Linked DNA regions of Tamandua tetradactyla. The protein of the gene in region 2 binds, or shares a complex with, the protein of the main gene of each other region. Links are inferred from orthologs where the notes say so. Each region holds a gene or a part of one and is shown on either strand. Other genes may lie near its edges.

What was found.
Region 1: the proteins of ANXA11 (region 2) and TARDBP are in contact, whole or in part, in a cryo-EM structure (PDB 9FOR), measured with the Homo sapiens proteins. The link is inferred for Tamandua tetradactyla from reciprocal best matches to the Homo sapiens genes ANXA11 and TARDBP. Residues at the interface, in NP_001148.1 of Homo sapiens: Gly56, Met57, Ala59, Met61, Ser62, Gly63, Phe65, Asn69, Pro71, Asn72, Leu73; in NP_031401.1 of Homo sapiens: Ala328, Leu330, Ser332, Trp334, Gly335, Met337, Gly338, Met339, Ala341, Ser342, Gln343.

The regions. Positions count from the first base shown.
Region 1 is NC_135328.1:214,374,610-214,378,354, reverse strand, and holds the start of TARDBP (TAR DNA-binding protein 43), read left to right. Parts: upstream 1-1,437; 5' UTR 1,438-1,515; intron 1,516-1,540; exon of another isoform or gene 1,541-2,198; intron 2,199-2,885; 5' UTR 2,886-2,899; coding exon 2,900-3,137; intron 3,138-3,745. UniProt on the Homo sapiens protein: RNA-binding protein that is involved in various steps of RNA biogenesis and processing.
Region 2 is NC_135339.1:16,846,341-16,850,085, forward strand, and holds the start of ANXA11 (annexin A11), read right to left. Parts: upstream 2,784-3,745; 5' UTR 2,660-2,783; coding exon 2,605-2,659; intron 962-2,604; coding exon 849-961; intron 1-848. UniProt on the Homo sapiens protein: Binds specifically to calcyclin in a calcium-dependent manner. Required for midbody formation and completion of the terminal phase of cytokinesis.

The sequences.
Region 1 (3,745 bases), on a different chromosome or scaffold from region 2:
CATATGCTCAAAGATAAATTTTAGGTATGTGACAACAAACCATGAATTCTCCTCCTAGAACAGAGAAGAGGCCTCCTGCCCAAAGGCCACCGTGGGAATCTGCACAAAGAAGACACCTGGTGCTCACAGGTTACTACGGAAACCTGCTACCAACAAGACATCCTATAAAGCAAGCTAAACCCCACCCACTCAGTGCCCCTCCCCTGGGCATGGCTGCATTAACCTCTCTAATATGTACTCTCTCCTTCTGTTTAATAAATTTACTATTTATTCTTACTGCCTTCTCTAAATTCTTTTAGCTGTGGGACCTGGAAGGGGGCTCAGGTGGCACCATTGCGAACCAGGTACCAGTTACAAAGGGACTTCTGTCCCTTGGAGGTGAGTGAAGGTCATTCATTACACCCCATTCCTGTTTCTTTTCCCTCCCTGGTCTTTCCAAATTGGTTCAGGAATACTCTGGTTGATATGAAAAGCAGGCATCAGAGATGGAATTGTAAGATTTACTGTTTGTCCCCTAGGAAACTGTAAGATGCAAGAAGCTGCAGAGTGCACCCACTTCAGAGCTTTGCTATCTGGGTTCAAATCTGGGCCCCAACATTTCCCACCAGCATGAACGTGGGCAGAATTATTGAATCTCTGTACCTAGGTTTCCTCATCTGCAAAGCAGGAATGATAATATTAGCACCTTCCTTATAAGGGCTGTTGAGAGGATTATACAAATTAATACATAAAGCATTTAAACCATGGTCTGTGTAAACCTTTGCTATTACTGCATTGCACTGAATCTGATACATGATCTTATTTTATGTAACACTAAGAAATTAAGTGTTGTCAGTTGAGCTTAACCTCCCCTTCCTCCCTCAGCCAACCTCCAAACCTAGAAAGAACTTTTGTTTCTAAATAATAGCAATAGAGCTATCACAAACATTATGACGTGTTATTAATTGTAACTGCATCTAAAATTTATACTGATTTCAGAAATGTGAAACAAATGTGTTCCAAAATAGATGGAACATAGTATAGCTGTGATTAGTGGGCTAGAGCTAGTGTCAGCATTCTATGCCTTAGGCACCCGGGTAACTTTATGCAAACTACCTAACCTCTCTGTGCCCCAGTTTCCTCATTCGCCAAGAATGTTCGGTGAGTTAAATATGTAAGTACTTAGAAAGTGCCCGGCCTAAGTAGACACTATCTGGCTTATTACTTAGAAACAAAGTTCTTCTTTCCAGGTTCGAAGTTTGGCTAGAGTAGGGAGGACAGTAAGCACCGAGTTGGCTTTTTAAACAAAGGAGGCCCTGTCCTCTCCCACCTCCCAAGTCGCCCAGGTAAGGAGAACCTGCGACCCCAGCCTCCGCCCCCACTCGGCCCCGCCCTACGGGGGCCGGCCCCGCCCCGCTCTTCCTGGCCCTGCCCCTAAGCTAGTCTCGCGCTCTTTCAAATTGCGCGAGCTCCAGCCGAGACCCAGGGTTGGCGGTTAGTTGGGCGAAACCATCCTCTACGCTACGTGGGAGGAAGGTAAAAGCCTACGCGCCCACGTTTTTTCAGTTTTTAGCTTTTCAAGTCCAACTGGTGATGTTATTTTAGACGAAAAGTACTATTAGCACGCGCAGACTCCAAAGAGGGAAGCTGACTAGCCGGAGAGAGGTTATTGTGTTTCTGTGCGGGGTCCTCCCCCCTGTTGGCGGGGATCCGGTGGGAGAGGATGGCGACGGGCGGGGGAAGGAGGCGGCCCTAGCGCCATTTTGTGAGAGCGAAGCGGTGGCTGGCCTGCTCTCGGGCCCGTCGGTGTTTTGGTTTACCTGTCGGGCTTCCTAGCAGCTTCCTGGAGGGTGAGTTGCGGACGCTTCCCACTGAGGACGCCCTGGATGGCGCTGCTTTCCTATTGGGGTGGCCTAGGCAGATGCAGAGGCGTCAGAGTCCGCCTGGGGAAGGGAGCCATGAGGCCAGGCCTCCCTCGTCCTGCCCGAGTAGGCTCGCGCGGGAGCGGCGTTGGGGGGAGCCGCGGGCCGGCAGCAGGCGCCAGTGTTGGGATGCTGGGCCCACGGGGCCATCCAGTATGAGGCGGAGTGGGTGTAGGGACCGTGAGTTGGCCTTTCTCCTGGCCCGGCCAGTGCTTTATCCCTTAGGCACTTGGCACTCGGGGGGACACTGTCAGCCCAGGCCTAGTACCCCTGCGGCTCCACCCCGGGACGCGCTTAAAAACTCCTCCCTCGGCGGTCACGCGCTGGCTTCTGGGAGGTGGCAGCGCGGATCCGAAGGACTGGTCGTAGCTGTTCCTAAGGCACAAGTTTGGAGAGTCCACGGAAGCCCTAAAACGAGGGACCGAAGGGAAGGGAACTTTTCTCTCTTCACCTAGCTCATTTCTTTTCGTTCAGTCTTCAAGTTTGAGCATTATACATCACTTTCTTAAGGAAACCTATTGTGGCATGCGTGCTCTTTGGCATACATATGCACACGCCTCAACCAGCTTTGATTCTCCCCGGCTTTCTCAGAGTTATTTACTTTTTTTTCCCGGTAGCATATGTATGTCTCGATTGCAACAAAATTACATGTTAACTGTATTTCTGCTGATTATTCCTACCCCTTTGTAACCAAGCATGCCACTTGGGATCGACTGCTTTCATAGTCCTAAAGTTGCAGCACCTGATGCAAAGTAGTTACTTACTGAATGAGTGAACCTAGGACGGTATCGTATTTTAATAGGAAATTGCTTTCCTTGTGCTTGCCTCATCTCTTAGTGATAACCGATAGGTGTAAGAATCAGAGCAGCAAGAATTTTTGTGGAAGTTGTAGAACCATAACCTGGTGATAGGAGTTTTCACCTGATTGTAAGAAAAGTGTTCTTCATGTGAGTGTTGGTCATTCATCTCTCTTTTCACTTTAAGAAAAATAAGAAAAGATGTCTGAATATATTCGGGTAACCGAAGATGAGAATGACGAGCCTATTGAAATACCATCAGAAGATGATGGGACAGTGCTGCTGTCCACAGTTACGGCCCAGTTTCCAGGAGCATGTGGTCTGCGCTACAGGAATCCAGTGTCTCAATGTATGAGAGGTGTCCGGCTAGTAGAAGGAGTTCTGCATGCACCTGATGCAGGCTGGGGAAATCTTGTCTACGTTGTCAACTATCCCAAAGGTTTGTTACCACTTGGTTTTACAATTATGCTGAAGTATGGTGAGGTTGTTTCTCATTCTGAGTCATCCATCATGGCCTCCGTTTATGGTGAAACATCTCCTATAATGTTAGTTGTTCCTCAAACTTTATTAGACTGCTTTGAGTGACAACTAGCCTAGATTAGTAAAAATTGAGAATTGTGGGGCATTTCTAGAGAAAAAATACTGTATTTTTTTAATCAGAACAAGTGTAAACCAGACTGGTGACAAATTTAAGAAACTATTAAAAACAATACAGTCTTCCAAAGTGCCCCCAGATTTGGATTTGGTTGGTCATTGCTCATACAGTCACATCCTTCATTCGCCTAATCTGACATCTTTTATTTTCCGTTAAGTGAGCATCAATTGCAGTACCTCAAATCTTGACTCAATCAGTGTTGGTCCTGGTCTTATTTCTTCTTGCTGCCTCTTCTCAGTGATGTTCTAAATTTAAGAAAAGTAAAAATGAACATTAAGAAAGCTATAGGTGCATTTTAGCAGCAGGAATGCACATATCTACATGGTAACTTTTATTTATAACTTGATATTGCAACAAGATTAGCCCATCAGACTTCTTCAAGATGGAGGACA
Region 2 (3,745 bases):
CCCAGAGCCCCCCCCCCCCATATGTATGCCTCACCACCCCCACCTACTTCCAGGCTGTGCCCCAATCAACGTCCCCTTTTCAGCAAGGCCAGCCTGACCACTCAACTTAACAGCACTGCCCACATCACCAACCCCCTCACTTCAGACCCGCCGCCTCCTGCACGCTCTTCCTTTATACAGCACCAACCCGTTTTCAAACAAGGCACAGTTCAAATGTTCCTTGTCTGTCTCTCCCAGGTAGATGGCATATGCAGGAGGGTTGAGATGTCTCCTTGATTTATTCCCATATCCCCAGGGCCTAGAGCTGGGCCTGGTACCAATTAGGCTGCATGTTGGCTACACTGCTTACATTGAGCACACACGCGTTTTCAGATTATAAAATACATCATTTTAAAAGCAAAACAACAAATTAAAGCAGCATGTCTGTCTATGCTACTTGCCACCGCCTCTTCCTTAGGCTCCATCAGAATAGCCATCCTTTGTCCAAACTCACTCGCACATACAAATGCGTATGTGTGTACATAACCTGCTTCCCGCCCTGCCCCAGCCCTTAGGCTGAGCTCATACAGAAGGTGCTCAATAAATGTTCCATGAAGGCACCGCGCATTATACAAACCCCCAAGAAGAAAGGGACCTGAGAGACCACAGGGCCCTGTACCTTCCCTTCCCTTCAGTTTACCAAAAGGACACAAGTGAGACCCACACAGGAACAGCGAGTAGGCAGGGGGCCCTGAGGACAGTTCTATGTCCCAGGATGGAGCCCGGCATACCCAGGTGGACCCATACAGACACCTTGAGGCCATGGGAAGCCAGCCACAGGGGCAGCCTTGGTGGGAGGCTGGACTCACCATTCCTGAGAGGTACTCCGGGTTGAACTGCCCTGCGTAGCTGGCCACGTTATCCAGCCCAATGGGGGGCATGTTGGGTGGGGGGTAGCCAGCACCCCCCCAGGCACCACCACCTGAAAGCAACACCAGGCCCGTGAGCCCTGTCCCGAGTGGCCCCAAAAGGGAAAAAGCAAAGACACTGAGCTCCCAGGAGGTCAGGAGACAAGGCCCAGCAGAGGGGACAGGGCTGCGTCCCACACCCCACAGAAAAGCCTGACTTGATCCTGCTGCCAAAGCAAGAAGGAGAAACCTGCTCCTCCTTCCAGGGAGGGAAGTGGAGCTCAACGGACACTCCTGAGAACAACCCCCCACCCCCACCCCCACCCCCACCCCCTGCGCAGTCACCCTCCCACAGCGGGCAGGGCGGGCACAGGAGGTGACTGCTCGAGAATCCAGAGGGGACACAGAAGCACAGGGGGTGGGGTGGGTTCCTGCCAGTTCGGCTGTTTGCTAGGACACATTTGGGAGAGGCAGGATGAGAGGATGGAGAGACACCACTGGACCACGGAAAACACACAATATGGGGAGATACCAGGAAAAGCTCTAGCTCTGAACAGACAGGGACAGGGGACTCGGCTTGGGGCCGGCACTGCACCACCATGGGCTCAGGCTCCTCCGCTGACAAATGGGATAATTAGCCTAATTAGCCTCCCTGGAAGAGCTGTGAGGAGGGCTGAGAGCCTGGGGAACGTGCACTGGTTAGATGCAGGGACAAGGCCCCCCAAGGACCTGGTTTTGGCTTCTCAGCTCTTGGGCTCTGGGAAGTTCAGGGCAGTGGATCCTTCCCTGTGTCACCAGCCCACTCCCTCTCTGGCTGCTCAGAGGCTAAGCAGCTGTGCTGACAAATGGCGGCAGCGGTGGGACACAGAGGGCTGGACTCCTACCAGGGTGGGGGCTGAGGCCGTGGGAGCAAATCGGAGGCAGGAGCTCGGGTCAGAGAAATGGCTCAGCTAGACCCCTGCTGGGCTGTGAGCCTGGGGCTGAGCCGCCTCCCTGCTCTGGGCCTGTCCCTTCACCTGTCAGTGGGAGGGCGATCCAAGTGACCCACGGGGCCCATCGTGCTTGGGCCCGAGGACCTCGCCAGGTGCAGCCCGGAGTGAGGGGCTCCCTCTTGTCCCAGGAGCCCCGACATTTCCTTTCTGATTGTGGGGACCAAATCTCACTTTAGGAAAACAGGAGGCAACAGGGCCAGAGAAGACGGCTCCTCAGTGTGGTGGAAAGTGGTGAAGTTAGGGCCATGCCTGGATCCCTGACCAGGTGGGTTCACCTCGGTGCTACCTGTGGCCACAGCTTCTGGGCAGCTGCAGCGAGGAAGGCCTCGTTTCCTCCCGCTGTAGGGGGACTGGGCTGCAAAACCATGCACCTGTCACCTAACAGAGCTTCAGGACGCTTTGCTTGGTGACCTCAGTAACAAGCATCCACGCAGCACAGGGAGGGACCCAGGAAGCCATCTTGCAAAGATGAAAATGGAAGAAGGGGCAGCGTTTGCTCAGTGCCATCAGCTAATAAGGCAAGAGAGTGGGTCGGTCCCTGCCTTTGGAAGCAGATTCAAACCCAGGCCTCTTCAGGCCTTGGGGTCCATGCCCTTTTTCTAGCCCCAGCCCCCCAATTGGTGGTTCCTTCCCCTCCCTATGTGGGTGTGCTGTGGAGGAAGATGGGGAGGGAGGAAACTGCCCCAAAACACTATTATTCCCCAGTCCACCCCAGTCCCTCTTACCTGGTGCAGCTGGGGGGTAGCCGCCTGCGGGCGGGGGATAGCCGGGGTAGCTCATGGGGAGATCTGAAAGAGAAGAGGAAAGCACACTCGGGCTCTGCCCCCACCAGCCACACGCACAGCGCTTGGCTTCTTAGACGCGACAGAAACAAACCACAACCAGGACCCTCTCCTCTGACAGCTCTTTTTCTTCCTGAAGCCCTCCCTCCCTCCCCATCGCAACAGCTCTCCTCCTCCCTGTTTTTTGGGCTGCTGGGTTTTCTGGACAACGCTAGGTCTTACGTGGAGGCCTGCTGAAGTTCTCCCTTAGGTCCATCACCGCGGCCTGCAGGGAGCCTCTCAAGTGCCAGCTGACATCACACGCTTTAGCTCAGCTATGTTCCGATAGCTACCGATCTGGTCCACATGGCATTGTGACTCTTCCAAGTAATGGGTACGAAAAGGGCCCAGGACTGACCCCCGAGCCGTCGTCAGGGGTGAACTGTCACATTTAAGAGGAATTTCCCTAAGAAGCATGTGGTGGCTGAGGGACCGCTGGCCCTCCCCCAGTGGCCGGGCAGTAGGCAGCACAGAGTCCTCTGAGGTCCTGCCCAAGTCCTCAGACCTCACTGGTGAGGAGGTGGCGTGGCGGGTTTGAATGATGGACTAGGAACCTTCTGAAGGCAGAAAGAAGAACTGCTCCAAAGGAGAGCAGGGGGAGCTGCTCCCATGTCCTGACACCTTGCCCTTGGGAGACCCATCACCAGGGACGGCCTTTGGGAATCAAAGCCCATTCCCTACTCCTGGTCTCCTCTTAGAAGAATGACGCCAAACGGCCCCTCCATAGCCAGGTCAGAGTTAAAAGACAAGAACAGCACAGTTGGGTTACTACCCTAATTCCTTACGCCAAAATCAATTTTAGCCAGATTAGATTTAAGTGTAAGAAATGGCTCCAAAGCCCAAGAATATAAAATCAAAGCTCTAAAACACAATATAAAGTTGGAGAAATGACAAAGGTAGAAAAAATGTTTTACAGGCCTTGTTTTAAAATAAAAAGCTCTTTAAAGATGAAATCAAAGATACAAGTGCTGGAGAAAATGTAGAGAGAGGGTTATACCTATTCACCGCTGTTAGGGAAGTAAAACGGTGCAGCCCACCTGGATGG